Arabidopsis thaliana: one gene and its partners. Each later gene encodes a partner of the first gene's protein in a complex. Each region holds a gene or a part of one and is shown in the gene's direction. Other genes may lie near its edges. The genes, in order: AT4G02030, POK, AT1G71300 and VPS54.

Evidence for each region.
Region 2: AT4G02030 (region 1) and POK share a complex: the UniProt entries of both Arabidopsis thaliana proteins name them as parts of the golgi-associated retrograde protein (GARP) complex.
Region 3: AT4G02030 (region 1) and AT1G71300 share a complex: the UniProt entries of both Arabidopsis thaliana proteins name them as parts of the golgi-associated retrograde protein (GARP) complex.
Region 4: AT4G02030 (region 1) and VPS54 share a complex: the UniProt entries of both Arabidopsis thaliana proteins name them as parts of the golgi-associated retrograde protein (GARP) complex.

The regions. Positions count from the first base shown.
Region 1 is NC_003075.7:890,004-898,348, forward strand, and holds AT4G02030 (Vps51/Vps67 family (components of vesicular transport) protein), read left to right. Parts: upstream 1-2,172; 5' UTR 2,173-2,258; coding exon 2,259-2,429; intron 2,430-2,533; coding exon 2,534-2,561; intron 2,562-2,763; coding exon 2,764-2,810; intron 2,811-2,894; coding exon 2,895-3,034; intron 3,035-3,159; coding exon 3,160-3,214; intron 3,215-3,302; coding exon 3,303-3,410; intron 3,411-3,517; coding exon 3,518-3,616; intron 3,617-3,746; coding exon 3,747-3,824; intron 3,825-3,978; coding exon 3,979-4,056; intron 4,057-4,194; coding exon 4,195-4,347; intron 4,348-4,587; coding exon 4,588-4,688; intron 4,689-4,777; coding exon 4,778-4,845; intron 4,846-4,968; coding exon 4,969-5,042; intron 5,043-5,126; coding exon 5,127-5,193; intron 5,194-5,387; coding exon 5,388-5,503; intron 5,504-5,600; coding exon 5,601-5,855; intron 5,856-5,935; coding exon 5,936-6,052; intron 6,053-6,128; coding exon 6,129-6,200; intron 6,201-6,280; coding exon 6,281-6,331; intron 6,332-6,416; and 7 more. Other genes in the region: SWN (SET domain-containing protein), read left to right, coding at 45-265, 337-468, 562-649, 740-787, 867-995, 1,075-1,152, 1,549-1,740; AT4G02040 (uncharacterized protein), read left to right, coding at 7,560-8,018. UniProt on the Arabidopsis thaliana protein: Acts as a component of the GARP complex that is involved in retrograde transport from early and late endosomes to the trans-Golgi network (TGN).
Region 2 is NC_003070.9:26,861,273-26,869,879, forward strand, and holds the start of POK (Vps52 / Sac2 family), read left to right. Parts: upstream 1-2,314; 5' UTR 2,315-2,463; coding exon 2,464-2,490; intron 2,491-2,590; coding exon 2,591-2,685; intron 2,686-2,785; coding exon 2,786-2,843; intron 2,844-3,015; coding exon 3,016-3,111; intron 3,112-3,247; coding exon 3,248-3,349; intron 3,350-3,504; coding exon 3,505-3,588; intron 3,589-3,674; coding exon 3,675-3,755; intron 3,756-4,152; coding exon 4,153-4,296; intron 4,297-4,696; coding exon 4,697-4,788; intron 4,789-5,075; coding exon 5,076-5,157; intron 5,158-5,440; coding exon 5,441-5,623; intron 5,624-6,089; coding exon 6,090-6,205; intron 6,206-6,294; coding exon 6,295-6,353; intron 6,354-6,593; coding exon 6,594-6,694; intron 6,695-7,066; coding exon 7,067-7,117; intron 7,118-7,367; coding exon 7,368-7,547; intron 7,548-7,637; coding exon 7,638-7,772; intron 7,773-7,923; coding exon 7,924-7,998; intron 7,999-8,099; coding exon 8,100-8,157; intron 8,158-8,240; and 2 more. Other genes in the region: AT1G71250 (GDSL-like Lipase/Acylhydrolase superfamily protein), read left to right, coding at 1-1, 87-310; ATWHY2 (WHIRLY 2), read right to left, coding at 577-702, 895-983, 1,192-1,265, 1,349-1,443, 1,532-1,624, 1,718-1,821, 1,896-1,999, 2,088-2,119. UniProt on the Arabidopsis thaliana protein: Acts as a component of the GARP complex that is involved in retrograde transport from early and late endosomes to the trans-Golgi network (TGN). The GARP complex facilitates tethering as well as SNARE complex assembly at the Golgi.
Region 3 is NC_003070.9:26,871,785-26,878,819, forward strand, and holds AT1G71300 (Vps52 / Sac2 family), read left to right. Parts: upstream 1-2,279; coding exon 2,280-2,365; intron 2,366-2,445; coding exon 2,446-2,563; intron 2,564-2,684; coding exon 2,685-2,798; intron 2,799-2,909; coding exon 2,910-3,011; intron 3,012-3,087; coding exon 3,088-3,171; intron 3,172-3,281; coding exon 3,282-3,362; intron 3,363-3,453; coding exon 3,454-3,597; intron 3,598-3,718; coding exon 3,719-3,810; intron 3,811-3,879; coding exon 3,880-3,961; intron 3,962-4,102; coding exon 4,103-4,285; intron 4,286-4,456; coding exon 4,457-4,572; intron 4,573-4,660; coding exon 4,661-4,719; intron 4,720-4,868; coding exon 4,869-4,969; intron 4,970-5,057; coding exon 5,058-5,108; intron 5,109-5,290; coding exon 5,291-5,470; intron 5,471-5,563; coding exon 5,564-5,698; intron 5,699-5,869; coding exon 5,870-5,944; intron 5,945-5,960; exon of another isoform or gene 5,961-6,094; coding exon 6,095-6,535; downstream 6,536-7,035. Other genes in the region: AT1G71280 (DEA(D/H)-box RNA helicase family protein), read right to left, coding at 1-29, 96-368; AT1G71290 (F-box associated ubiquitination effector family protein), read left to right, coding at 859-1,458; RAD52-1 (cobalt ion binding protein), read right to left, coding at 6,933-7,035. UniProt on the Arabidopsis thaliana protein: May be involved in retrograde transport of early and late endosomes to the late Golgi.
Region 4 is NC_003075.7:10,613,623-10,618,876, forward strand, and holds the start of VPS54 (VPS54), read left to right. Parts: upstream 1-2,073; 5' UTR 2,074-2,394; coding exon 2,395-3,228; intron 3,229-3,327; coding exon 3,328-3,390; intron 3,391-3,479; coding exon 3,480-3,559; intron 3,560-4,426; coding exon 4,427-4,547; intron 4,548-4,665; coding exon 4,666-4,740; intron 4,741-4,942; coding exon 4,943-5,096; intron 5,097-5,254. Other genes in the region: AT4G19470 (Leucine-rich repeat (LRR) family protein), read right to left, coding at 1-117, 169-578, 621-717; AT4G19480 (uncharacterized protein), read right to left, coding at 1,158-1,411, 1,562-1,694; AT4G19485 (uncharacterized protein), read left to right, coding at 1,198-1,501, 1,547-1,710. UniProt on the Arabidopsis thaliana protein: Acts as a component of the GARP complex that is involved in retrograde transport from early and late endosomes to the trans-Golgi network (TGN). The GARP complex facilitates tethering as well as SNARE complex assembly at the Golgi.

The DNA.
Region 1 (8,345 bases):
CAGAATCATATTTTGGTTTACCGCTCTCTTACTTTACTTGACAGAATGATGAGGTGCCTCCAAGGACAAGATTGTTCCGTAGAAAAGGCAAAACCCGGAAGCTAAAATACTCTACAAAGTCTGCTGGTCATCCGTCTGTCTGGAAAAGAATAGCTGGTGGCAAAAACCAGTCCTGTAAACAATACACGCCGTGTGGATGCCTGTCAATGTGCGGAAAGGATTGCCCTTGTCTAACTAATGAAACTTGCTGCGAGAAATATTGCGGGTATGCAAACAAATTAACGTCAATTGAAGTAACAGAGGATCTTCTTATAACCATCCATTGATTTAATTCAGGTGCTCAAAAAGCTGTAAAAATCGTTTCCGAGGATGTCATTGTGCAAAGAGTCAATGCAGAAGTAGGCAGTGTCCCTGCTTTGCTGCTGGCAGAGAATGTGATCCAGATGTTTGCAGAAATTGCTGGGTTAGGTAGTCATTTTAAATCTAGATCTCTTGATGTGCCATATACAATCAAATCTACTATTTGATGAGTAACTTAAGATGCCTTGCTTATTCACTCAGTTGTGGAGATGGTTCTCTCGGTGAAGCACCAAGACGCGGAGAAGGGCAATGCGGAAACATGAGACTTCTCCTGAGGCAACAACAGAGGGTATAATACTGTCATCAAATCATGTATTTACTAAAAATAAAATGCATTCATTGTTGATAAATCTAGTTTCTCATGTGCTATATTTACCAGATCCTATTGGGAAAGTCTGATGTTGCTGGATGGGGTGCTTTTCTAAAGGTAAAGCATGTGAATATCTTCCTCATTAACTTCTGTTTCATACCTCTTGTATGTAATCTGAACCTCATCTGATCATCAGAACTCGGTCAGCAAAAATGAATACCTTGGAGAATACACCGGTGAATTGATCTCACACCATGAGGCGGATAAGCGTGGGAAAATATATGACCGGGCAAATTCGTCCTTCCTCTTTGACTTGAATGATCAGGTGACCAAATCTCTCACCCTTCTTTCTGATAGTTTCCTCTTGAATTTCGCATATGTCAGTAAGCTTTTGATATTTGCAGTACGTCCTCGATGCTCAACGCAAAGGTGACAAGCTGAAATTTGCCAATCACTCAGCTAAACCCAATTGCTACGCTAAGGTACTAAATGCTTCTCTCTCATATCCATTTTGGTATGAAAAAACCACATGATCGGTTAGTAATTATACCTTCTTTCTCACCTCTAGCCACTCAAAAGTTCCATTTAGAAGGAGGACTAGGATTATAACATTTTGTAGAAACTAATCGCAATTAGCACTATAGAAAACAGATGATCAAATCTAGCTTTGTAGGTTATGATCAAAACACACTTGTTTCTACAATCTTTATGATTGTAATGTGTAAAGTAACATGTGTATATCATCTGCTAGATTTATTCAACCCTTTTCGAAAGGTGTTAATTATTTACAAAAAAGAGCGATTTTCAGTCTATTGTCGTAGTAACCATGGTCTCATCGCTTCCCGCATAAGTACGGTGTCTTTTTCTGTGTGGTGTAGGTGATGTTTGTAGCAGGAGATCACAGGGTCGGGATTTTTGCAAACGAACGAATAGAAGCTAGCGAAGAGCTTTTCTATGACTATAGATATGGACCAGACCAAGCACCAGTGTGGGCTCGCAAACCTGAAGGCTCCAAGAAAGATGATTCAGCCATTACTCATCGTAGAGCCAGAAAGCACCAATCTCATTGATGATTACTGGCTAAGAGAAGTAACTTTTATAAAAATAACTTATAGAGTTGTGAGAGATGATATTTGAAGTTTGATAACTTAAGCTTGTCTTTATTAATTAATTATTATAGAGTTGAGATTTTATTTTATTTTGACATCGAGTTTGGACTTTGTATAGGTGATAAAACAATTTATGAATTATTGGGGTCAATAAGTAAAAATGTATCATTTCGAAAAATAGTTTCAAATTTATGGATTTTTGAACAGCTAAAGCCAATCTATGTACTTTTCAACGAATAAAACTGATTTAAAATAAGTGAACGAACCAATCACACTAAACCAGTGCCTAATCTCATAAAAAGTAATCCGACTGCTAAACCGTATTCCGGTTCGAATCGGATACGGATCCGTTTCCCAGTTGATTAGTCGGATCCAGTTTCTTCTTGCTTTTTCAATTCACATTACGAATCTCCGACGCCAAAATTCTGCTTCCGGTAACAGATATTTTCGTCGTCGAGAAGAAGCAGGAGTTTAGAAAAATGGCGACGGAGGCAGCTCCGATGGACGAAAAGGCGAAGAGAATGAGAGATCTATTGTCGAGCTTCTACGCACCGGATCCTTCAATCTCGACGAGTGGTTCCTCCATCAACGCCTCTTTCGATAACATCAACAGCACTTCCTTTGATGCTGATCAGTACATGGATCTCATGGTTAGTCTTCGTTTCTTGTCAGAATATTCGTGAATCGTCAACACAAGCGTCAATAGCTTGTATATTGTATCAAATTATTGAGTATTTCGATTCACTGAAGTTAGATTCGGCTCTTTGATCTTGGTCTAAGTGGTTAGTTCGAAATTTAGAATATGTTTAGATCCGACTGTTATCTTTTGGAGCAGGAATATAGTTGCTAGTTTTGAATTCTACCCTTCGGATGAAGTTTACAGTGCAAGGTTCTTGTAGAGGTCTCTTGATCAATGTGGTCTGGTTTGGTTATTTTCTATGCAAACTTATGAGAATTCTGCAAATTTAGTTGTTCTTATCAAAGATCTTCCTGCAATGGTTGATAGTTCGGAACTAAATTGGGTTTATGAGGTTTGTGTTAAGTGTGGTGACAGTAGTGCTAGCGATCTGATTGAGATATATGCCACAGTCTGGTGATTTTATTGGCTTGTGCAGATCAAAAAGTCGAATTTGGAGGTGCTTCTGCAAAGACATGTTCAAATGGCTGCTGAGATTAAAAATCTCGACACAGACTTGCAAATGCTAGTCTATGAAAATTACAACAAGTTTATCAGTGCAACAGATACAATCAAAAGGTACTTGTAATGGTTCATGGATCGTTTCAGGTGTTAAGTGTGTCATTTAACACTTTTCTCTATATGATTTGATTTCACCACTCGGTAGTATATTAAATTCAAAATGTTGCTTCTTTACCTGGTAGGATGAAGAGTAATATTTTCGGGATGGAAGGCAATATGGACCAGCTTCTTCAGAAGGTGTTTTGAACACATATGATACACGTAGTTTTGGATTTTTTTATGGGAACTTCTCACTCATAGTATATCTCCCAACTGACTCATGCAGATAATGTCAGTACAATCAAAGAGTGATGGGGTCAACACTTCTCTTTTCGAAAAGAGAGAACATATAGAGAAACTGCACCGGACTCGTAATCTTCTTCGTAAAGTTCAGGTATGTAATGAGTCATTTTTGCTAGCTTATATATCTGCTGTGTTGTCACCTGATCATTATAGCAATAATATGAATTTACTCAAATTAATTTTTGTGAGAAAGAGCAGTTCATCTATGATTTACCTGCAAGACTGCAAAAATGTATCAAGTCAGAAGCCTATGGCGATGCTGTCAGGTTCTATACTGGAGCAATGCCAATTCTCAAGGTTTACATCTGTCCTCGGATAACTTTTCCATTTTTTTGTAGTATTCTTTTCATGTTACTGGGGCATTTAACATTCTGAAGATATATATGTGGAGATATGTTTAAAAATATGAATTTCTCTTTCTGTTCAGGTATATGGCGATACATCATTCCAAGACTGCAGGCGAGCTTCCGAAGAAGCTATAGAAATTATCATAAAGAACTTGCAGGTATACCTTTTGGTCCTAGTAGTCTATACTTGTCTGGATTAATAAAAATCTACATACAATACTGGCTTATCAACCATATAAACAAATAACTGGTCTTTATGTTTTGTGTTTGTTATTTCTTGATGCAAGAAACCTATTTTGGCTTGTTTGACAGACGAAGCTATTTTCAGATTCAGAATCCATACAGGCGAGAGCTGAAGCTGCAGTGCTTCTTAAGCAGTTAGATGTCCCTGTCAGTTCTTTCTCTTAGCTCAATTATCTGTGACTTGTTTAAGTTGTTATAGAGCTACCTAGAACGTTCGTAATGTTCATCCTTGTACAACTGGTTTATCACTGGTTGTGACATAAATTTGGATTGCACATCCTGCAGGTTGATAGCTTAAAGGCTAAACTGTTGGAAAAACTGGAACAGTCTCTTGATGGTCTTCAAATAAAGCCTGAGGAGGCAAGTACACTTGTAGAGGACGATGATTCATCTAACGATACAGAAAGCAATGACCAACATCCTGCTAAAATTCATGAGGTAAACACGGACTATGTCGCTTCCTTATCCTTTGTGTTTTTGATGAATGCAAGTTGGAACACAGTCAAACTGACTGTATCTATTAAGCACTTTGAATATCCGCAGCTGCTTTACAGGAGATTTTCTCATTAGCCACCATATTGAGATCTCTTTTCTTTTATTTCATTTGGTTTATCAGACTTGACGAGCTTTTTATTTGCACTTTTGATATTTTAATGGTTGTCCCCTTTTTTCTGATAGGATGCCGTACGTGGATTTTCTGAGGCCATACGTGCTTATCGAGAAATATTCCCCGACTCAGAAGAAAGACTTTTCAAACTCGCGAGAGCCTTAACAGCAATGTAACGCACTTTTCTTTGATATATTGATCCATAAATCGAGACTTTGTTTGTGTCTGACCTGCAGAATTTCTAACACTTATGGTTGTTAGGCACTTTGAGTACATGGAGCTATATATAAAAAAACGGGTTTCTGCAGCAGATTTTCTAGGAATTTTTCGTGAGTACAGTGAATTTCCTCATGCCCTTGTCTCTTTTTTATGTTGCTTTCATTTCTTCTGAAAGCTTTGGTTAAATCAGTCTAATGAACATATATACCCTGTCTGATTTCTGTTGGACGTAGGAATTGTATGGGAAGATGTGGTACTTATGGACGAGGTGCTACCTGAGGCTGCACTCTCTGATTTATCTGCAGAGGTTGACCCTCATTTATGTTGTGTGGTTCTATTTTTCGTTATAATGTGTAGAACTATATATGATTACTAGCACTCCTCATTTCAGGCTGCCCAGGTTACTCTTAAGCAATTTGTTGCGAGAATGTTTTCTCATCTTCAACAGGATATATCAGGTTCGCTGTTTTCTAATTTCTACTGGATTCAGAATTTCTTAGTGAGGGAAAAGAGAGAATGAGTGTAGCTTCACTTTTCATAAGAACTTCTGTGAAATGGCCTTTAAGTAATTTGAAGAGTAGATTAATCTCTTCGTGAAGTTTTAGTCTTCAAATGAAATAGAATTATAATGAGGTATATATATACATGGCAGATACTCTCTTGAAATTCGATATCAACCAAAAGGAAGCAGTTGAAGGGGAACTCTTGAAGGTTGTCCTGGAAGCTAGCCAAAAAGCAGTGCTACAAGGCACCACAAATATATTTCAGGCACATTCCTTCTTCTGTTATTTATTATATTTTGGCTGTTATATCATCTGTATGAATTCCATGCTCAAAAACGCTTATATTCGTTCTATCACTTCAGGACTTCCGTCAGCTTCTTGATGAAAAAACTGGAATATTTATAAAGATGAAGGATTTAATCAGTGGTTGGATTCAGAAAGGATCTCAAGACTTCTTCAGGTCACTAGAAGCTCAATTTCTAGTGCTTTCTGGAAAAACTAGCTCATCAAACGATATAGAGGGAAAATCGAGTGACAAAATTCATGCTGGTCTCATTCTTGTATTGGCGCAGCTCTCTGTCTTCATCGAACAAAAGGTCATCCCGAGAGTTACTGAGGTGAGATTCTTACAAGTAGTTTTGCATAAAGTTTAAATCAATTGGTAGCTGGTTTTGAGAAATTTCATATGCTTATTCAGGAAATAGCTGCTTCCTTCTCTGGTGGAAATTCCCAAGCCTTTGAGAATGGACCTGCTTTTATTCCTGGAGAACTTTGCCGGGTCTTCCACGCAGCCAGCGAGAAACTTCTCCAGCATGTATGAATGAAACTCCAAAACTTGAGGTCGTTTACCAAAACTTAACATCAACTAACTAAATCATTTCATATTTCAGTACATAGACACAAGAACACAGAAGGTATCAGTTTTACTGAGAAAAAGGTTCAAGACACCTAACTGGGTTAAGGTATTGCTGTTGTGGTGTGGCTAATCTTCTTAGAGAAGCATTTTACCAGTCATTGTTTTTTAATTCCAAATATTATGCAGCACAAGGAGCCACGAGAGGTTCACATGTATGTCGATATGTTTCTTCACGAGGTTTGACAACTCTTCTCCTCTTAACCTGGAAATTATCTAAAGAGCATGCAATAAATCATATTTGTTTGGATTTTCTACTTCGCAGTTAGAAGAAGTTGGTAAAGAAGTGAAACAAGTTTTACCTCAAGGGACTTTCCGTAAGCACAAAAGAACAGACAGCAACGGAAGTAACACTACAACCTCATCACGAAGCAATACCCTCCATAATGATAAGATGGCACGGTCAAATTCACAAAGAGCTCGTAGTCAGCTTTTCGAGACACATCTTGCAAAACTGTTCAAGCAAAAAGTAGAAATATTCACCAAGGTTGAATTTACCCAGGTAAAAACGAAAGAGGTTCCCTTATAGTTATATCAAACGCGCACTGCCACACGCTCATCATCTCCTGATCTCTTTTCGTGCTAAATATTTGCAGGAATCCGTTGTTACAACAACAGTAAAACTTTGTCTGAAGAGTTTGCAAGAATATGTCCGTCTCCAAACGTTTAACCGGAGCGGGTTCCAGCAGATTCAGCTAGACATTCAGTTCTTAAAAGCTCCATTGAAGGAAGCAGTTGAGGACGAAGCTGCAATAGACTTCTTGCTCGACGAGGTGGTTACACCTAAAGCTCCTTCCTTTACTTTTCTTCTTATTACCATCAAGCAGAGGCTCTATGTCTATCTTTTGCAACTGACCATTGATTCTCCGACCATGATGTGTGTTTGTATTGACAGGTGATCGTTGCGGCTTCGGAGAGATGTCTTGATGTGATTCCATTGGAGCCACCGATCTTGGACAAACTCATACAAGCTAAACTCGCTAAATCAAAGGAGCACAACAACAACACAGTTTCTTCTTAAAAGTTTTCATAACTCAAACAAAGTATACATGATTTTTGCCAATTTATTTCCGCTTCTTGTTATCATCCGTAGTGTAAATCAAAACCATTGAATTGTACTCTCTAGCATTGAACCAGTAAAATCTACACCGTAACTTCTTCTTTACTTTTGTGAACAAATCTTTGAATTTTTTTTTTTAGCAACATGCAATTTGACTTAAAAGATATGTAAAACCCTAAAACTAAACTACATAAATTCCTAATTACACTAAAACCCTAAAATTGAGTGCCGAAAAAATAGAAAAAATATTCATAGTCACGGCCTCACGGGTCTCTCTATTATATAAGAACTCCTTGAGACTTAAAAAAAATCTCACATTCCCTCTCTCTAATCAAAAAGCTAAAAGCAATGGCCACTGCGATGTCTTACTCTTCTCAAAACCATCGATTCGAGCACCAAACCCTAATCCACCGTAACCCTAAGCCTCGTCTTTGCCGCAACTCTTCAACAGCTCCTCGCCGACGCAAGCAAAGCCCTACGGTTGTTAAATCTCCGGCGGCGAATCCAAATCTTGTAATGGAACAAGTCAAGATCCTCAAACGCGGTGAGACATTGAGCGCGTTTAATAAGAACAAGGAAAACATTAGCTCCGACGATACAAGACGACCTGTTTTGAAGATGATAAAAGATGTTGATCTGATTGTATCGGCTACTAATAGAATTGGACCTGAACCAGAGATTTTGATGAAACAGATCGGAGCTTTGGGATTGCAGAGCTTCGCCGGAGCTAATTGCTCTCTTTCGCCGCCTCCAAGCTGTGTTCCAATTCCATGTTTCTTAGGGACGAAGAACAATCTCCTTGTTTAGATCATCTGATTTGGGGAAAACAAAAACCCTAAAATCGAAACCGTCTTTTGATGGTCTCGTAAGAGCAGATGTGTGAAGAAATCCTGAGATAGAGAGTAAACAAATCTCTTTGTTTATCTCAAAGAAGAAGAAGAAGATGGAGAATGTGATCACAAAACGCCAATTGCAACCAAAATCTTTACTCTGTAATCGAGTGTTTTGGTGTAACAGTCACTGTGACTATTTTCAATCGCTTTTTTTTAGTTTTGTTTCGGATTTTGAAGTTTGTAGTTGTCACTTTCACATGGGATTCAAATCTCTCCTTATGCAATAAAAAACCTTATAGTA
Region 2 (8,607 bases), on another chromosome or scaffold:
GGTACACTTATTCTCGGATAACATGGTTGTCAAAGGAGTTTCTTCTATGATTTCTACTCTGATCAAACATGGTTTATATGGTACAGGATTTAGCGTAGTAGACAGGGCTTGTTGCGGGATTGGGAGGAACCAAGGACAAATTACATGTCTGCCGTTGCAGACTCCTTGTCCCAACAGAAATCAGTATGTCTTTTGGGATGCATTCCATCCTACTCAGACTGCTAACTCCATTCTGGCTAGACGAGCTTTCTATGGTCCACCTTCCGACGCATATCCTGTCAATGTCCAACAGATGACACTCCTTCACTAGTATATTTTGGTTTTCGTGTTTCTTTGAAGTTGTATGTTATAATGATTGAACCTATCTATCTATGAGTATCGAGTATCAAGTTGAAACCAAAATGCTTGTACTAAATAACATATGTGCTAATGAAAACAAGAAGACCCATGATTTAGAAGTCTTAGAGAGGACATATTAGTTTCAAAACAGAGCATGCCGAGTTTCGTGTGCACCAAATGCCAGAAAAAAGAACACATGCATTTTCAATTTACTCCGTTCCTACTACTCTCATCATTTCATTTATCCCACTCCAGCTCTAACTGTGGTTCAGTCTTTAGATGAGAAACATTCCTCGACGGCAGAGCTTCAGTATTAACGTGACCAGTTAACCGATTCCAACCCATGATGTGTGGAAGAGCAAACTGCACAAAATACAAAATCTGGTTAAAAAACAATCACCAATATCCCTTGAAGAATATATACTTGATCCAGATTCATGTGCTAAAACTGACAGAGAAGCAATGCCCTTGGTTTTTCTAGTCAATGTTTTTGGTTCTCGAACTGATATAATAGTAACAGAATATAGAGAACGCAGAATAAAAATCTTATCTTACACTAAAAGCTGTCTTCATCACTGCAAATTCAGCTTTTGTGACAGGAACCACAAAATAGTCATTGGTTTTGAGGATGCTATTGTTAACGCCTGCAACAAAACCGCAGAAGGTAAGTGTTTATACAGCATTAAGAATTCAGCATTCCTATTGTTATAAGACAGCTATTCTGTGCGAAAACTGTTATCGCCATATTACAAAACTAATACAAGTGCAAGCTTCTAAATTTACTAAACAGAAAGCTCCCATAACTAAGTATTTCAGTACTGATTATCCATGTTAATTTGATAGAAGCCTTACTCAATGAGATGAAGTAGCCGCTACCATCTGCGTGGGGCTTAACTGACAGTGACTTCCTGACTTGACCAGCATTACTGAGGAGTCAAAGACAAGTCTATGTCAGAACATGAAAATGCTGCGATAAAAATATAATGTATTGAAGCAAAAAAAGACAAACCTTGATTTCATGGAAGGGTCATGGAAAAACTCGGAGCTGTCTTTGGAACCCATGCTAATTAAGGATCCAACTTCAGTAGGTGACAAAGCAAATTTCTGCAATAATGTAGGAAACAAACCAAATTTATCAGAGGAGAAAGAAGAGACAAGTGAAGAAGATAGAGAGTGTGAAAAAGATCAATACCTGTTTCTTTTCCCAGTCGTACTTACGCTCACCAATAGCAGGCATAAAAGTCATCATTAAGGATCCACGACGATCTATCCGAAGATTTCCCGACTAAACAATTGTACTCACAGTAAGTAATGAGAATCTAAAAGAAGCCTTTAAAGAGAACACACAAAACTAAAAAGAAATGGATTTTGGGCTTACATCGATTTCAGTGAAACTGGGAAGAACAGGTTCAACAGAGAGAGCAGCTTTTCCTTTGAAGATAGAATAAGGTGCGAACAATCGACCACTAGGCTTTGCGGCATCTTCTCAAATCAAGCAAACAAAATTAGGGCAAGTACACTTAAACTGACGAAACGGAAACAAACCAAGTTCTTACCTTTACCAGGGAATCCACGTCCAGGGGTTGAAGAATTTGACCAGCTTGCAAAACCACGCAACGTCGAAGCTTCGAAAAGTGACTTACTTTGGTCACAAAGGCTCCTGCTTTAACAAAAACAAACCAACCCAGAGAAGCCATTTTAAGAGTAATGAAATCTAAAATCTGAATTTTGAGAGGAACTGAAGTAACCTGGAGAGCAAAGAGCGGGCTTGCTTCATCATCTTCTTCTGTCTCGAGTAAAAAGCATCACTTGAGGTCTTCCGACTTCTGAGGTTTTATGATTTATCAAAACGGGTTTTATCGGGCGACCCATATTTTAACCCGTTTGTTTTATATATAAGTCTTTTAACGGCCCAATGGGCCTTTATTGTTGATTGGGAAATTAAAAATCAGATTAGAGAAGACGAACGAATCTGAGAAAGGTGAAGCTGAAGAAGAAGAAGAAGAAGAAGAAGAAGAAGAAGAAGAAGAAGAAGACTCTCTAATGGCGGACTCAAACTGATTTCGAGGATTCTGATTTCGTTTTCTAGTTGAAGATCTTTCAACTCTTAATCTCATTAGGAAGATGTCCGACATTTCCATTGACGCATTGGTACTTCATTTTTTTTGCATTCGTGATCTTCTAGCCTTAATCATGGATCCTTTATGATCTCTTGTCTAATTCGCTTTGCTCTTCTATCTGAAATTCATAGGGCCAAACTATGGGGGACTTTAGTAATCATGAGAAACTTGGATTTGATTTAGGAGCATTTGTTGGAGACTTGGCTTTTGAAGAAGATTCAGGCAGGTAACGTTCTCATGTTTTGTATCTTAATTCGACTATAACATATGTTTCTGCTTCTCTTTGTTCTTCTGATTAGAATGCTCTCCTTTGATTTGTTTGGCAGTGAGGATATTTCATTGGAAGGGCTTCAACAAGAACTTGAAGAATGTGAAAGTGATGAGGTAAGTTATTCACTTAACTGAGATCAAACTTATAAAGCTAGCACCTCGGTTCTTCTTTTTCGAAGTATTGTTTCTACTCTCATTTGAGTTACTTTGGAGTACATGGATTGATCATAGAATGTTAGATCCATGGATATGATGTCCTTTCTATCTTGTTTGTGTGAAATGTCAGGTTGTTGCCAATATACTGTCTAGTGGTGACAAACTTAGAGAATATGCAAAAGGGGTTGAAAACAATCTACGCAAGGTTGAATTGGATTCAATCGAGGTTGTTATTCTCTACCTGTGCTACATTGTGGCACTTGTTGTTTTCTACTTTTTATGTACTTCCGTCTATAAGTTCGGGAATTTCTTTGATATCGTAAGTAACTAACTTAAATGCTTTACATTCCATGAATACTCAGGATTACATAAAGGAAAGTGACAACCTAGTCTCACTTCACGATCAGATTCGTGACTGTGACAGCATCCTGTCACAAATGGAAACTCTTCTCAGTGGATTTCAGGTATTTGAAAATTAGACATTTATATAATTTGTGTGTATGTATGTGCTTCTTTCTCCTTATTCTGACTTTTGCTTAATGGGAGGAATTTTTTTACTTTGAAATACATATATTTTTTCCTGGTAATCTAAATGTGCACTTTGCTTCTTTTCTTTCAGGAAGAGATTGGTTCTATAAGTTCAGACATAAAGATTCTTCAAGAAAAGTCAATGGACATGGGTTTGAGATTGAAAAACCGCAGGGTATAGCTAATCAGAAACCACTATTGGTATTATCTCTTGCTGCTTTCACTCGTGACTCATCCAAATGAACTCTTCTATTTGAATAGGTGGCTGAATCAAAGCTAGCAAAATTTGTCGAAGACATTATAGTGCCACCAAAGATGATAGATGTAATTGTTGACGGAGAGGTATTTTTCAAATTCACTTTTTATGTAGCTTTGGTAGGGTTGGAGATTTGTAGGAATTTTGTAGGATCTCGTCATGTTGTATACATGTCTAATTTTTCTTTTTGTTTCTGGTGCTATAAGAATTACTGATTTGGTGCATATGTTGTAATCTGAAACATGGAGGAAAAATAGAAAAACAACATTTTCTGGTTAAGCTTGGTATATGCTTCCCCTATGTGCAATACTAAAATTTATTAAATTTTCTTCATTTTGTTTTCTTACACCATTTAGTCCTATCTTTATGTCCCCTGAGTACGTGTTTTTTTTGTAAAACCATAGTGGTGCATTTAAGCCTAGGTTGGATTGCTGAGGGTATTTTTATTGCTAATCTGATAGTCGTATTATTTTCCTTATTCAGGTGAATGAAGAGTATATGAAAACGCTTGAAATTCTGAGTAAGAAGCTAAAATTTGTAGAAGCAGATCAGGCAGTTAAAAGTTCCAAAGCGTTAAAAGATGTAGAGCCTGAGCTCGAAAAGCTTCGGCAGAAAGCTATTTCCAAGGTTATTGATCTACTTTCTCTGTTACTTGATACCAAAAACTTATATATTTCGCTGAAGGGAGTGTGATAGGTCCAAACATAACTGTACCTATTGACTCTCAAAACACACTGATACATGCATATTTCTTAAAGTTGTTAATTGTTTGATAAAAAACTACAGAAAAGTTAAGTTCCTGATATAACTCAACTTATTCTACCTCAATGAGATGAATCATTGTTCCTTCCCTCTGAAAGAATTTATGGCCAGGAAAAAGTTGCCATCTGCGATAAATTCAACTTTTAGTTCTGTATTAAGTCATTTGTGTTTGTTCTCGTCCAATGCTGAAAGGGCATGCACGACTGCACGTCGATGGAGCATTCTAAATTTGTTCTCATGCAATAGATTTAAATTCGTTTTGCAGGTGTATGATTTTATTGTCCAGAAGCTTATAGCCCTGAGGAAACCCAAAACAAACATTCAGATTCTTCAACAGAGTGTGTTATTAAAGTACAAGTGAGTTATGCTCTCCAAGCCCCTTTAATTGGTTTTGACGTAGTGAAACTACAAATTGTACAACGTCTCCTGTCTTGCATGTATGTTTCTGTTAACTTTTTCTGCATGTGTATGTGGTCATCACCTTACAAACGTTTTGGTTAGTTATCTTGGTTTGGATTTTCCCTTTGTGATGTTGACGGAGTTGTTTTATTTTACATGTTACTGATATCCAACTTGATATTATATTGCTTCTACAAGACTTATGTGGATACATACTTCATTCACCAATTACAATTTAATGATAGGTATATTATCTCCTTCCTCAAGGAACATGGAAAAGAAGTGTTTATGGATGTTCGTGCTGCATACATTGATACCATGAACAAGGTGATATTCTTTATCTTGTTTGATTTCTTACACTATGCTGCAACTCCTTTATATAGTCTTAGTTGAATGAGGAAGAATACACAGATAGATTTGACTAAGGTTATTCTCCGCATATGCAAGGTAGTGGATACAACATCCAATTGTACGTTACATGCAAGTAATTCTTCTATTCTTGTTTTCTAACTATAATTGGACAAAGCTAGTTGGTTAGATAAAAATGCTGTTTGCTAGCTTAGGCTTTTAAATGTTATTACACCTTATGTATTGTATGATCTTGTTTCAGGTGTTAAGTGCACATTTTCGTGCTTATATTCAAGCACTTGAGAAACTACAGTTAGATATAGCCACAGCATATGACTTAATTGGGGTAGAGACCAGAACCACCGGCCTCTTCTCAAGAGCTAGGGAGCCACTAAAGAACCGCTCTGCCGTTTTTGCTTTGGGTGACAGGATAAAAATTATAAAGGTATGCATCATTCAGCAGTTATCATTTTTTGATTGATTTTTTCGACCATTCTACATGCTCTGGCGAATTTGTTATATAAAATGAGTTGCTCTTCTGACTCTTTAATACAAAAGATGGTACTAGGTCTGCGTCTTTACAAATAAAGTATAAGTTATATTAATGTATTGTACACCATAAGTTTTATTGAGGAGTGCCCACTTTGGTTTTGGTTCAGATATTTTAGTCTTAGGTTATAAATTATAGGAATCAAATATTTTGGTTCATTTCAGTTTTGGTTTTTACGATATGTATCCTTAATTTTAAAGGCTCCTCAAATAGATGGAAGTTTCGATTTGTTTTTCTCATTTTCAATTTGGATTAGTGTGGTATCAATTTGTTTTTTTTTGCTATAGAAGAAGTAAATCCAAAGTTTGTTTGGTTTAACAATATTCGTTAAAAGACTTAAGTTTCAGTATGACCGCTGTAGGATATTGATCAACCTGCTTTGATCCCGCACATAGCCGAAGCCAGCTCTCTCAAATATCCTTATGAAGTGCTCTTCAGGAGCCTGCACAAGCTACTTATGGATACAGCTACTTCTGAGTTCTGTTGATTTTTCCCCTTTTATATTTGTGTTATTGTCGCTCATCGCTCAACCCCCTGGTTAACGTCATTTGTTTTCATTTTAACAGGTATATGTTTTGTGATGATTTCTTTGGTGAAGAGTCCATATTCTATGAAATTTTTGCGGGTAATTTCTAATCTGTCTCCCTTCCTTTTGCTGTACCAAACTTTGTGGATTTTGTTAGCTGTGTAGAAGAACATCTGTTTTTCCTGTAATACTGGTATACCAAATTTGATATGGTGTTGAGCAGCGTGTAAGAAATTATCTTCTCTTCTTCCGGATAGAAAGCTGAACCTCTTGTACTTTACAATGGATATGATAATTGTAGCAGTTTTTTGGATAAATTCTAAAATTTAAATGATACAGGTCCATTTTCTGTCATCGATGAGCACTTCAATCCCGTTCTTTCAAACTGTTTTGATGCTATTGGCCTGATGCTTATGATTCGCATAATACACCACCACCAGGTATTAACGATGACCTAACTACTAGTTTATCTGCGTTTTGGTGAATATCTTGGAATTAGGTAATTTATTTAGCTTCTTCCCTTTTGAACTTTTCTAGTCTCCCACATATGTGAGAATGCATTGAAGTATGGTTAGATATTTATCAACTTGGCATTGGAAAGAGTTCTCTTAATATCTTGCAAACTAACGATGTAGATATACCTTCAACTGGTCCACATAGGCGTATTACAACCAGTCTATATTTTTTCTCAACAGTATGATAATCTAGTGTAGCTTATATTACTTATTTTCATGATCCAGCCTTTTGCAAGGGTCATGATGGTATTATATGTCCACTAATAGTTAAGCAATACTTTCCCACCTTTTTTACAGCTTATCATGTCTCGCCGGAGAATTCCATGCCTGGACTCATATCTGGACAAGGTTCATACCTCTCTATCTCTTTTATTATGTTTGATCAACATTTAAATATGTATGGTGCAATAAAAAGAGTTCATTATTATTGTGCTCATCTTCAGCTGTTTTCACTTGGTCGCTAAATGTTTTCTTTTTGGTATAACTTTGAAGGTCTTGTATAGATCTTAGATATAAGCTTATAGATGCGGCTATGGTTTGATTTCCTTAGGTTTCATAGTCCTCTCTCAATGAATCTTTTATTTTGGAAATTGAGCAGGTTAATATTTCTTTGTGGCCTCGTTTCAAGATGGTGTTTGACTCACACCTTAGCAGTCTGAGAGATGCAAACATTAAGACATTATGGGAAGATGATGTTCATCCTCACTATGTCATGAGGCGTTATGCTGAATTCACGGCTTCGTTTATTCACCTAAACGTTGAATATGGAGATGGGCAGGTTCGTTATAAGATTGCTTCTGTCTCTAGTGATATGTATTACCTGTTCTCATCACTCAAATCGCTTGACACTATATATGAACCGCTGCAGCTTGATATAAATCTGGAGCGGTTAAGAATGGCTGTAGATGGGTTGATTCTCAAGCTTGCAAAGTTGTTCCCAAGGCCAAAGCAGCAAATTGTGTTTCTCATAAATAACTACGATATGACAATCGCTGTACTGAAGGTGAGTTGAATCCTTGGCCGTCTCATGTTAAGTGCACCCATGTGGACCAGTGTTTTCTTGGTTTGAAATGGCTTTCTACGAATCTCAAGGCTTAACTAATTGAGTCTGACCTACCAAAAGAATCTGTTTTGATCATCTTCCTGTATTTTAGGAAGCTGGACCAGAAGGTGGGAAAATTCAAATGCATTTTGAGGAAATGCTAAAGAGTAACACTTCATTATTTGTGGTAAGGGGCAAATACTAGGTTACCTTTGTAATTTGCTTCATGGGTATAACATAAAACTGTCTTTGTAGTAGCCTAACCTTAAATCTGATGTTAACTCGTAGGAAGAACTGCTGGTGGAGCATTTCAGTGATTTGATCAAATTCGTGAAAAATCGAGCTTGTAAGCAACTTGTTTCTTTCTTTTCTTCACGTACTCATCGAGTGTTAAGTTGAAAAACCACTAAACTGTAAGATATGTGGCAGCTGAGGATTCGAGCTTAAATCCAGAGAGGTCCATTACAATTGCTGAAGTAGAGCCACTGGTGAAGGACTTTGGAAGCAGATGGAAGACAGCGATTGAGTTGATGGACAAAGACATCATAACTTCCTTCAGTAACTTCTTGTGTGGTATGGATATTTTGAGAGCTGCATTGACACAACTATTGCTCTATTACACAAGACTCACAGACTGCATCAAGAAGATAGATGGTGGATCTGCTCTGAATAGGGATCTTGTCTCCATCCAATCTATCATGTACGAGATCAGGAAATACTCCAAGACTTTCTGAAAGATAGCATATGTGGCTCCTTAATGAAGAGTATGTAAGATAAGTCAAAATTTTCAAAGTGA
Region 3 (7,035 bases), on another chromosome or scaffold:
CTCGTTGGCGATATAATCACCCCCATTACCTGAGATTGAAATTGTTAACATATAGCATAAGCTACTACTCTTGATATTCGGCTAATTCTCCTTACCTGGTGTGGCTTCGGAGGGTAGGAGTTGGATCGACGGATAATCTCTATGAAGGGAAGGAGGAAAGCTAGGGTTTTTCCAGAACCAGTGGCTGCGTCGACGACAACATCCTTGTGGCTGCAGAGGAAAGGGATCGTCTCGGCCTGAACCGGAGTGCAGACCTCGAAACCGGACCGGTCAAGCGCCTCGATGATATCTTCTGAGAGCGGAGGTTTGAGTTCAGAGAAACGCGGCGGCGCCTCCTCGATGATAGTGTTCGGTGGCGATGAATCCATGACGGCCGCCGCTTGCTTGTTGCTCACTCCAGCTTTATTTTTTAGACCTACAGCAAAATTTTGTTCGAATTAGGTAGTTTTTGGTCCAGTTTCTACTAAAGCCCACTAAGAGAAGAGATACATCTCTCGGCCCATTGTTAAAGTAAAGCTCTAGTCATTGCTTAAAAGAATACCTCTAAACATTGACATTTGACAGTAACAAACTCGGAGAGCATTCAGAGATCTACAAACAGATATTCTGTCACGGTTACCTCTGAAATCATTGGTGAAATGTATCTTGTCTAAAAGAAGTTGGCATCTTTAATCCGCTCGAGAGCATTCAGAGATCTTACTTGCGCCGATCGATGACGACAAGGCCTCGATTGTCGTTCATCAACTTCCCCGTTCGGACGTGATGGTGTGTTTCACTCTGTTTATCAAGAAGAGGAACCACTGTGTAATATCACAGTACGGAGATGGTAGGCGTTCTAGGGAATATCAGGTATACACAATGACGGTGGGATCAGGTGAAGAATCTAATTCTTGGAGAGTGATCACATGTAAGCATGATCATTCACCAGTTACTGAAGGACTATGTAAAGGAGGTTTCTTGTATTATGGAGCTGATGAGTCCAATAGTGACAAATCTGTGGTAGTGAGCTTCAACGTGAGTTCTGAAGAGTTTAGCGTCATTGAATTGCCTGAGGAAGTCAAGATTGATCATCGTTGGAGATTGGTGAACTACAATGGGGAAGTTGCCTTAGTAGATGACTCTGAGTTTGACTTTGGTATTGTGAAAGAACCGAATGGCAATGGAGTATTTGAATTGTGGGTAAGGAACGAAACTGATGGAACTTGGTGGAGAAACTGCATTGAGATTCCTCATTGGGAACAACATGTTGGAAATATGGAGTTTTTCTTCAAAGGTACCATTGGAACTGGAGAACTTGTGTTCGCTCAAGACTCTGTGATTGAGAGATCATTCTATGTGGTTTATTATGATACAGTCACACAAAATCTCAGAAGATTTACGATTGAAGGTGTAGCTAGAGATCAGCTTCATGATGTTCGAACCTTCTTGGATCATGTTGATAGTACTTGGCTTATGTGAAGAACAAGAGTTAGGTTGTTATATATATGCGAGAATCAGATTTTGAGTTTTTACAAAATCTATTAAAATTTGGAGATCTTAACTTCTTTTTTCTCGACAATATCTGTAAGAAAATAAAATAAAAATAGACATTTGTTGGTATCACAAAAATAATATAGACCTCCTTGGTATTTGCGTATCCTCTCATCTATATCGCCAGTGGCTCCGTGGCCTTCAAATCAATTCTCAAATTTTGTATATATATATACTAAGATTAAGATTTGACTATTGTTATAACCATTGGTGTTTCTCCAGAATTTGTACAGCAACATGCCCACTAACTCATTGGTAAGCTGGCACTTCGTTTTCGCTCTAAATTTGATTTGCTGAGTTCTAAAGCCTTTTGGATCATGATGTTATTGTTATGGTTGTTTTACTTCTTTTGCGGGTTCGATCTCTCATCGAAGTTTGGGTCTATTCTCTTTGCTCTTCCTCTTCTAACTAAAAAAACATAACGTTACCATCGACTAGGGTTTTTGGTGATTTTTCGTTTTTCTCATGATTAAGATTGGTTTTGAGGTTTTTCCCTTTTCAATTAGGATTTCTAGTAATGATATATTGTAAGGCTTTAAGTTGGATTGTTCCTTGTCTGTATATAAAGTCCCTTTATGATCAATAAGAAATCAAACAATTAACCCTAACTCTCTCTAAGAGCGACTTGCGTTAAAAGGAAGCTTGCTAAAATCTTTCTCACGTTAACAAACTGCACGAAACCGAAATCACAGGCTCATATCAAGTCTCTTATCGAAGTTTGTGTCTATCTAAAAACATAGGGCCAAGCTATGGACGACTTCAGTAATCTTGAGAAACATGAATCTGAATTAGGAGCATTCTTTGGAGACTTGGCTTTTGAAGAGGATTCAAGAAGGTAACATTCTCATGTCTTTTCTGTTTACCTTAATTCGAGTTTGACATAAGTTTCTGCTTCTCTTTATTGTTCTGATTTAGAATGCTCTCCTTTGGTTCTGTCTCATTCATAAAATCGACATTACTCTTTTTGTTGGGCAGTGAGGATATATCATTGGAAGGGCTTCAACAAGAACTTGAAGAATGTGAAAGTGACGAGGTGAGAAAAAAAAACTGAAAGTGAACAAAGTTTTTTCCAGTATCATATCTACTCCGTTTTGACTTACTCTGTACATGGATAGAAGTTTTGATCCAAGGCTATTTTTCTTGTGAAAGTTCAGGTTGTTGCCAATATACTGTCCAGTGGTGACAAACTTAGAGAATATGCCAAAGGTGTTGAAAACAATCTACGGAAGGTTGAATTGGATTCAGTTGAGGTTGCTATTCTCTTACCTGTGATACATTGTGGCACTCGTTGTTTTCTACTTTTCATGTAACGTATTTTGTTCCTTGTACAAGTTTAATATCGTAATTTACTAATGTTTCTACCCTCCATTAATACTCAGGATTACATAAAAGAAAGTGATAAACTAGTCTCACTTCACGATCAGATTCGTGACTGTAACTGCATCTTGTCACAAATGGAAACTCTTCTCAGTGGATTTCAGGTATTTGACAATTTATATAGTTTGTGATTCTTTCTCCTTAATCTGAATGCGCACTTTGCTTCTTCGTTTCTTTCAGGAAGAGATTGGTTCTATAAGTTCAGACATAAAGATTCTTCAAGAAAATTCAATGGACATGGGTTTGAGACTGAAAAATCGAAGGGTATATAGTCATATCAGAAACCACTATTAGTATTATCTCTTTCTCCTTCAACCTCGGTGGTATTTTCTTATGTGTGTTACTCATCAAAACAAGCTCTCCTATATGAACAGGTGACTGAATCAAAGCTAGCAAAATTTGTCGAAGACTTTATAGTACCACCAAAGATGATTCATGTAATTGTTGATGGAGAGGTATCTTTTCAAATTCCCTCTTTCTATGTAATTGTTGCTTTGGTAGGATTTTTATTTCTAATCTGATAGTCTTGCTATTTTCTGTATTCAGGTGAATGAAGAGTATATCAAAACACTTGGAATTCTGAGCAAGAAGCTGAAATTTGTAGAAACAGATCAAGCAGTTAAAAGTTCCAAAGCATTAAAAGATGTAGAGCCTGAGCTTGAAAAGCTCCGGCAAAAAGCTATTTCCAAGGTTGTTAATCTACTTTCTCTGTTACTTGATTCGTAACAATTATGTCTTTGTTTGTTCTGTTCCAATGCTTCCAAGGGCATGCACGTCGAGGGAGCAATTCTCATTTATTTCCGTTTTGCAGGTTTATGATTTTATTGTTCAGAAGCTTATAGCCCTGAGGAAACCCAAAACAAACATTCAGATTCTTCAACAGAGTGTGTTTTTAAAGTACAAGTGAGTCATGCACCCTTTTACTTTGGTTTTTTTACGTACTTCATTTACCAAATTACATTTTGATCATAGGTATATTATCTCCTTCCTCAAAGAACATGGAAAAGAAGTGTTTATGGATGTCCGCGCTGCATACATAGATACCATGAACAAGGTACTTCTTCTTTTCTTGTATTCTCACTAGAGCTATAATGATTAGATGATGTATGCAGGTTAGATTGAACAAGCTTTATGTTATGGGTTAGGCTTTCAGTTGTTAATGTTACACCTAATATAATGTGAGATCTGGTTTCAGGTGCTAAGTGCACATTTTCAGTCTTATATTCAAGCATTTGAGAAACTACAGTTAGATATAGCCACATCAAACGACTTGATTGGTGTGGACACTAGAAGCACTGGCCTCTTCTCAAGATCTAAGGAGCCACTAAAGAACCGTTGTGCCGTTTTTGCTTTGGGTGAGAGGATACAAATTATAAAGGTATTCATCATTTATCCAGTGATTATATTTTTTCAGACCATTGAGCATGATTTGGCGAATTCGTTAGTTCCACGTTCACTTGATATTTTCCTGTATTTCTTATCGTTGACTTGGAGGTATTATATCGCAAGAGTTTGTTAAAAGACTTAAGTTTCACTATGTATGATGTAGGAAATTGATCAACCTGCTTTGATCCCGCACATAGCCGAAGCCAGCTCTCTCAAGTATCCTTATGAAGTGCTCTTCAGGAGCTTGCACAAGCTACTTATGGATACAGCTACTTCTGAGTTCTGTTGATCTTTCCTCTTTTCTATTTGTGTTATTGTTTCTCACCACCCACCCCCTTGTTAACGTCATTTGTTTTCATTTTGACAGGTATATCTTTTGTGAAGATTTCTTTGGTGAACAGTCTATATTTTATGAAATATTTGCGGGTAAGTTTTAATCTTTCCTCCTTTTTCTATACCAAACTTTGTAGTCAGAATAGTTGTTACAAATTTTTATATGGTACTTGAGTAGTGTGTAAGAAATATTGTCTTACGCAATTTTTTCTTGGATAAATTCTGAATTCTCCATGACACAGGCCCATTCTCTGTTATCTATGAGCACTTGGATTCCGTCCTCTCAAGCTGTTATGATGCTATCGGTTTGCTGCTTATGATTCGCATTATACACCACCACCAGGTAACCCAATTATTAGTTTGAGTGTGATGATTGTTTATATCTCAACTATGTGTATCAAGCATTTCTCAATAATGCCACTTTTTCACAGCTTATCATGTCTCGCCGGAGGATTCCATGCCTGGATTCATATCTGGACAAGGTTAGTAACTCCTTGTCTCTCTTTTAGTCTGTGTGATATACTCTTAATGTATATTACTTGCAGTTGTGCCAACTTATGTTTTCTACCTGGTATAACTTTGAATGTCTTGCATAGATTTTAGATATGAGCTCATAGATGCCGCTTGGTTGATTTCCTTAATGAATCTTTTGCAAATTGAGCAGGTTAATATTTCTTTGTGGCCTCGTTTTAAGACGGTGTTTGACTTGCACATCGGCAGTCTGCGAAATGCAAACATAAATACAATATGGGAAGATGATGTGCATCCTCACTATATCATGAGACGTTATGCTGAATTCACGGCTTCGTTTATTCACCTGAATGTTGAATATGGAGATGGGCAGGTTCGTTATAAGTATTCTCTCTGTCCCTAACGATATGTGTTATTTGGAGCTTCTCACCCAAAGCTCTTGACATTTGTCTATGAAACTTTGCAGCTTGATATAAATTTGGAGCGTTTAAGAATGGCAGTAGACAGCTTGATTCTTAAGCTTGCAAAGTTGTTCCCAAGGCCAAAGCAACAGATGGTGTTTCTCATTAACAACTATGATATGACCATTGCTGTGCTGAAGGTGAGTAGAAGAACCCTTGGCTCTCTCATGTTTAAGTGCACCCATGTAGACCACTAAGAAGTCAGCCTATGCGAATTATCTACAAATCTTAACTCATATCTATTGTTTCTTGGGTTTCTTTCCTTACCAGAAATATATTAATCTGTTTTGATCAATCTTCATCTATTCTAGGAAGCTGAACCAGAGGGTGGGAAAATTCAAATGCATTTTGAGGAATTACTAAAGAGCAACACTTCCTTATTTGCGGTAAGGGACAATGTTTCAGTTTGATTGCCTTTATAATTTGCTGATTTCTGTTTGATCAAGTATACAAGCTACAAAGAGCATAAAAAGATAGTAAGATTTGGTGTATTATGTTTCCATTATTGTTTTGTTTAATTTCTTGTAATTTCGCAGGAAGAATTGCTGGTGGAGCATTTCAGTGATATGATCAAATTTGTTAAAAGCCGAGCCAGTAAGCACCTTCTTTCTTTCTTGTCTTCGCGCACTCATTGTTTGTTAAGTCGAATAACCACCGAATTGTACTTAGCAGATGAGGATTCAAGTCCAAATTTAGAGAGGTCCATCACAGTTGCTGAAGTAGAGCCGCTGGTGAAGGACTTTGGAAGCAGATGGAAGACAGCGATAGAATTGATGCACAAAGATATCATAACTTGCTTTAGTAACTTCTTGTGTGGTATGGATATTTTGATAGCTGGAATGACACAACTTTTGCTTTATTACACAAGACTCGAAGACTGTATCAAGAAGATAGATGGTGGATCTGCTCTCAACAGGGATATTGTCAACTATCAATCAATCATGTTCGAGATCAAGAAATACAAAAAGACTTTCTGAAAGATAACATATTGGCTCCTTATGTATAATTCTTATGTCTTTTGCTACTATTATCCTTATTTAGTCTAGGTATTTTCTCAGCCTGTGTGTCTTGGATAATTTCATGGGAATTTCTACAAGGAGTGAACAGAGAGTGCAGATGCGAATTGCCACAAACAGATAACTTTTACTGGTTAAAGTTGCAACCTCAAGTTAAGTTACAGAAATGCAACAAAGAGTCCTCTGAAGGTCATTTCATTAACCGATTTCAAATCATAAAGCGATCAATATCAGCTGATACATATCTAAGATACCAAAAACTTAAGCTTCCCTGAGTTTTACCTTCAAAGACTACTACTACTAGGCAGTGGGAACACCAAAATAATATACTTTCCCATGGTTAAAGAAAGATTACCCTTTACAAAGCATCCTCGTGATAAAGATGAAGCCCTAATCCAAATCTTGCACACGCACGGCGAAATGCCATTGCTTCCGCCTTTTGCACAGCATCACCATAGCCT
Region 4 (5,254 bases), 9.7 Mb from region 1:
GCACCAGTGTGAAGGCAGGTTGGTTTCCATTGAAGATCCAATTCTCTGATGGCGGAACCATAGTGGCAAATCATTCCCTGGAAAACTTACAGCAGATAAAGGTTCCAAAACTAGTTCCTGGAAAAACCATTAAGGATAGCAATGTCACTGGAATAATAACAGAATAACCAGAGATTGGACCTTATGATTAAGTTGAAAAGATCTATTCGCCAGTATTTGACTCTTGAGCTGAGTATGAGCCACAATTTTTTCTTGTGCATCTCGGTTTAGCTTGTAGCAATCCGTGAATACGAAAGTAGAATGGGTCTTTTCAGCTATCACTAGAAGCGTCATGGGTTTTGAAACTGTTTCGAGTGAGATACAGCCATGAACATCCAAGTACTGATTTGATGGAAGCACTGGAAGAGAAATGAGATTTTTGCAATTCTTTAAGTAAAGAGATTTGAGATGATGAAGTTTCTTGATGCTTCCTGGTAGATTCTCGATACTGTTTCGGCTCAAGCATAAAGACTGCAGCGAGGATAAGCAGCTAAAATTGTCCGGGAATTTGTACAGATTACAATCTGTGAGATACATGTCTGATAACTGAGAGCAACCTGAGAAAGGCAGCAACTCCAAACCTCTGAAATCTTGGACTTTAGATCCACCAAACGAAAACAGCTTGAGATTACTCATACACATTGTTCTGGGAGTTTGTTTGATGGATGTATCATCCATTAGCAGAATCTCTAAGCTTCCCATGTTTGTTTGGGGATTCCATGTTTTACCAGATGCCCATGTTACATGCAGACAGGAGACTGCAACTTTGGTATTACAGTATGTGTAAATTCCATCATCCGAGTGAGAGAGAAACCCATGTCCTTGAGACCTCCTTAAGCTCCAAAGGCCTCCCTTCACGGACGGTGAGCCATTTCTTAAACTAGCAGTAGCAATCTAGCAGACGTTAGTTTTCTTTGCTTCAAACCTCATTCTTTTGAACTAACCAACACCAAAAGCTTGTTCGACTTCAAACTGAACTCTGTTTTTCTAATCTCATTACTATCATCTGTGTTTATCGCTTGCTCAATTTTTGCTCCAATCTTTCGACATGGAGAACCCGTGTGTACCTTATATTTTTACAGTGGAAACTGCAGCTCCGGTCCCACTTGTATCTTTGATCATCCGATGTTGGTATCAACACACAAGAACATATCTTCCATGGCTTCCGAGACACAGCACTTGAATCCGCTAGGATTGTCCTCTTCACTTGGGGCTTCATCAAGTGATATTGTGGAAGCATCAGCCAAGAAACCCAGAATATACAAGAACACTTCTTCCGTAGCGTCTGATACACCACACTCGAATCCATTAAGATTTTCTTCTCCAATTGGAGATTCATCAAGTGAGCTTGTGGAAAGATCAACTAAAGAAACTGTAATCAACAAGAACACACCTTCCATGGCTTCTGAGACTCTGCATGCTAATCCACTAAGATTTTATTCTTCCATTAGAGAGTCATCAAGTGATTGAAGTGAACTTGTGGAAACATCAGATTAGAAACCCATAGTGCATAAGAACACACCTTCCATGGCTTCTGAGACACCGCACTTGAAGTCGGTAGGACTTTCTTCTTCGCTTGGACCTTTATCAAGTGAGCTTGTGGAAGCATCAACTGTGTCTGAAGTCACACAAGAAACCGTTAGTAGAGGTGTCATTGAAGTGAAGACTTAAAATTTTTGTGGTTAAACAAAATGTTGTATTTTAAAATATTGTTCTTCTAATATATATTTTCTAATATTAACATATGCTTGATCCAAAAATTTCCATGAGTAATATATGAAAACAACATAATTAAGTAAAAAAAATACAAGGCATTTTTCCAAATTAACTCAAACAAAAATCCATAGGATATTTTTCAAAAGTATAAACAAAACAAGGCATTTTTCCAAATTAACTAATTAGAATATTACAAATTTTGTTAGAGAACTATTTGATTTATTGAATTGAAAAGATATTTGTAATATAGTAATATTAATTTTACTAGTAATGAAAATCAGTTATTCATAATTACAGAATCAAACTGACATTTATCCTTTTCTGTAGATGACGTGGATACCTAATGCACCGTCGATTAAATCTGCGTAGTGAAACCCCGCACTGCTCACAGCACCACCTCTCTCGAACCATCGAGTCTCGAACCCAGAGAGGACTTTCCTCAGTGAGTCCTCCGTTCCTTAGCTTCTCTTCCAGATCCAAACTCTCACCAAACTTTCTCACAACACACACACAATTCGATTCGATCCACACTCTTAAAATCCCAAAGATCTCTCTGATTTTGAAATTCGATTCTTCCCCAGATCAACTTGTGAATTTTTCCACAATTTTGGTTCATGATTTTGATTTCGTGAAGGACTTATGGATTCACACCCTTCCCTAATGGGAAGGTCCATTACCAATTCGAACCGATCGAGCTTAGATCTTGGTCGTCCTTCTTCGTCTTCTTCATCTTCTCCTTCACCGTTAACCAAATCGATCTCCGATGCAAGTAGTCAAAGTCTCTCTTCGATCCTTAACAATCCACACGGAGGTAAGTCTGGTGTTTATGGTTCCGATGCATCTTGGGTTGGTTGGTGGTCTTCATCGACATTTGTAGCTCCAGCTGAGTTTGCGCCTGTTGCTTCAACGAAGCTCCCTGGTTCGGAGCTAACCAGATCCGACTTCCATGGCTACGTTTCTTCGATCTCTGAGTCTCATGGTAGATTTGAGGATATTAGGAAGCATACTAGGGAAGAGAGCTGTGGGTTTGATCAGGAGAGCCATGTATCGGGTTTAGCTGCGTGTTTGCGTGAGGTTCCTTCGCTTTACTTTAAGGAGGATTTTGCTCTTGAGGACGGAGCTACATTTCGTTCTGCTTGCCCTTTCTCGAGCCTTAATGAGAATCTAGCGCTTCAAGAGAAGTTGTCACAGTATCTTGATGTGGTGGAGCTGCATCTTGTGAAGGAGATCTCTGTGAGGTCTGATTCGTTTTTTGAGGCTCAAGGACAGTTACAGGATTTGAATGTGAAGATTGTTGAGGGTTGTAGTAGGATTCGTGAGTTGAAAGAGACTATTCGGCTCCTGGATAGGAATTTGGTAGATTCAGCTCGACAGATTCAAGAGCTGAGCTCAACTAGGATTAATATGCTGGAGCTGCAACGTAAATTAAGACTTATTTTGTATGTTAACCAAGCTCTCTCTGCACTCAAATTGGTAATTTTTCTTACTGATTTGCTTAGAGTAGTGTCAATGTAGATACTTTTTTGTTTTTCCTATCTTTTATTGATGGAAGTTTGATTCTTTATTGTTCAGCTTGTTGCGTCCGCAGATTGTGCTGGAGCTTTGGATATAACTGACGATCTCCAGAACTTGCTGGTAAGTTCATCTGTGATTGATGTTGGATACTTTTAGACGATTAGGGTGCTCTTTCTTTAGAATGTAAAATGGATTCCTGTCTTTTTTAGGCTGGGGATGAGCTTACTGGTCTATACTGCTTCCGCCATCTTCGGGATCATGTTACTAGTTCCATAGATTCCATAAACAGGTGTGTCTCTTTTCAGGCTATGATAACTGACTATAATAGGCTGTATTTAGTCTGCCTGTAATGCTCTTTTAGGATGGATTGATTGGGAACAATGAGAGTAAGTCGGATCTTAACTGTGCAAAGTACCTTACCAAGTTTTTAGAGAAGTGGTGAAGATGTGAATTATTGACTATGTTTTTGAGTCTCGCTTTCGAGCGTCTTGAAATTCTTAGATAGTGAAGGCAGTCGATATTTGAAAAATGTTTGCAGGGTTTTGCAGCTCTGGTTTTTTTTTACCCTTCTACGTCCTTTTATTGACTTCTGGTTTATATATAGCAGATAGTCTCTCTATAATTTGCGAAGTCGCTGTTTCTTTGTAGATCAACCCTTTCATGTTACCCGTGTGCTTGGGCCATTTGCTGAGATTAAGTTTTATAACTGCCAATTGCGGTGGATAGTTTTACCGTCTGATGACTATGCATGCATCCAGGCTTGTAGCATTCTATTAGTAATCAATCATAACTTCTGAACTCTTAAACTTTCCCCTTAAGTTCTTGCATGCGGTAATGCCTTGCTGGCGGAATTACCCTTATTATGATAAATCTTGGTTTGCATTGAAATGTACTATGTTCGTCATTATTTTGATACTTCATTCATATTTTGTTACCTTCAAAAGGTGTAGAACAGTATACAACCTGTAGGCATTTGTATCAGTTAAATGTTTAGTATATTGATTTTCTTTGGTAGTGAATTGTTCCGTGAAAATTTTACTATAATGTAAGTTCACTTTCTATATGCAGTTATCTACCAGTCCTGTTTTCTCTATTATTTTCTTTTATTTGTTTATTTGGTCTAGTGCCTGATGGTTCATTGATTTTTTCTTTGTAGTATTCTCACTTCAGAATTCATGCGTATCTCCATACATGATACTGGGGAGATAGATGTACTGATTTTATCTGCAGCAAATATACGGGGATCCATTTCATCTAACGGGAATACCGGCGAAGAAGTAAGTCTCATCCGGTACTGAATAGAAGATCCTAAACTGTGAGAAGTGGTAGATTATCAGAAAAAGAACTGAAACAACGACCATCATGACTCTGAATATTGGGCTTACGCCTTTGCAGGTTAAGTTAGAAGAAGAGGATACCTCTACCTTATGTGATCGGCTTCTTCCTTTAGTTATTGGATTGCTAAGAACGGTGAGTGACCAGACCTGATTATTTTTCTAACAAATGCTACCACTGAAGTTGACCTGATTATTTTTCCAACATATGCTACCACTGATTGTTTTAATTTCTTCGTTTATGCCATTCCCGGTCTTTATTGTTGGTTCATAGTGCTCATTCAGGGCATAGTCTTAATTCAGTTTCTCATGTATTGTTCTTTGAACTGTTTTCATAGGCAAAGTTCCCGTCAATTTTGAGGATGTATCGTGATACACTCACATCCGAAATGAAAAATGCAATCAAGAAAGCAGTTGCTGATCTGCTTCCCATTCTTGTTGCAAGATCGCTCGAATCTGATTTTTCACATGGGGAGCGCTCTGTAGATGATGGTGAGATTTTAATTGTTCTTACTATGTATACAGATTGTCATGCGACTTAGTTTGTGCATGAGAACATGGTTGAACATAAGTTTGTATTTGAAATGTGTAGAATTCCTCTAACACACATTCTCATCAAGGTCAACACCATAGAAACGACAGTATTGGAT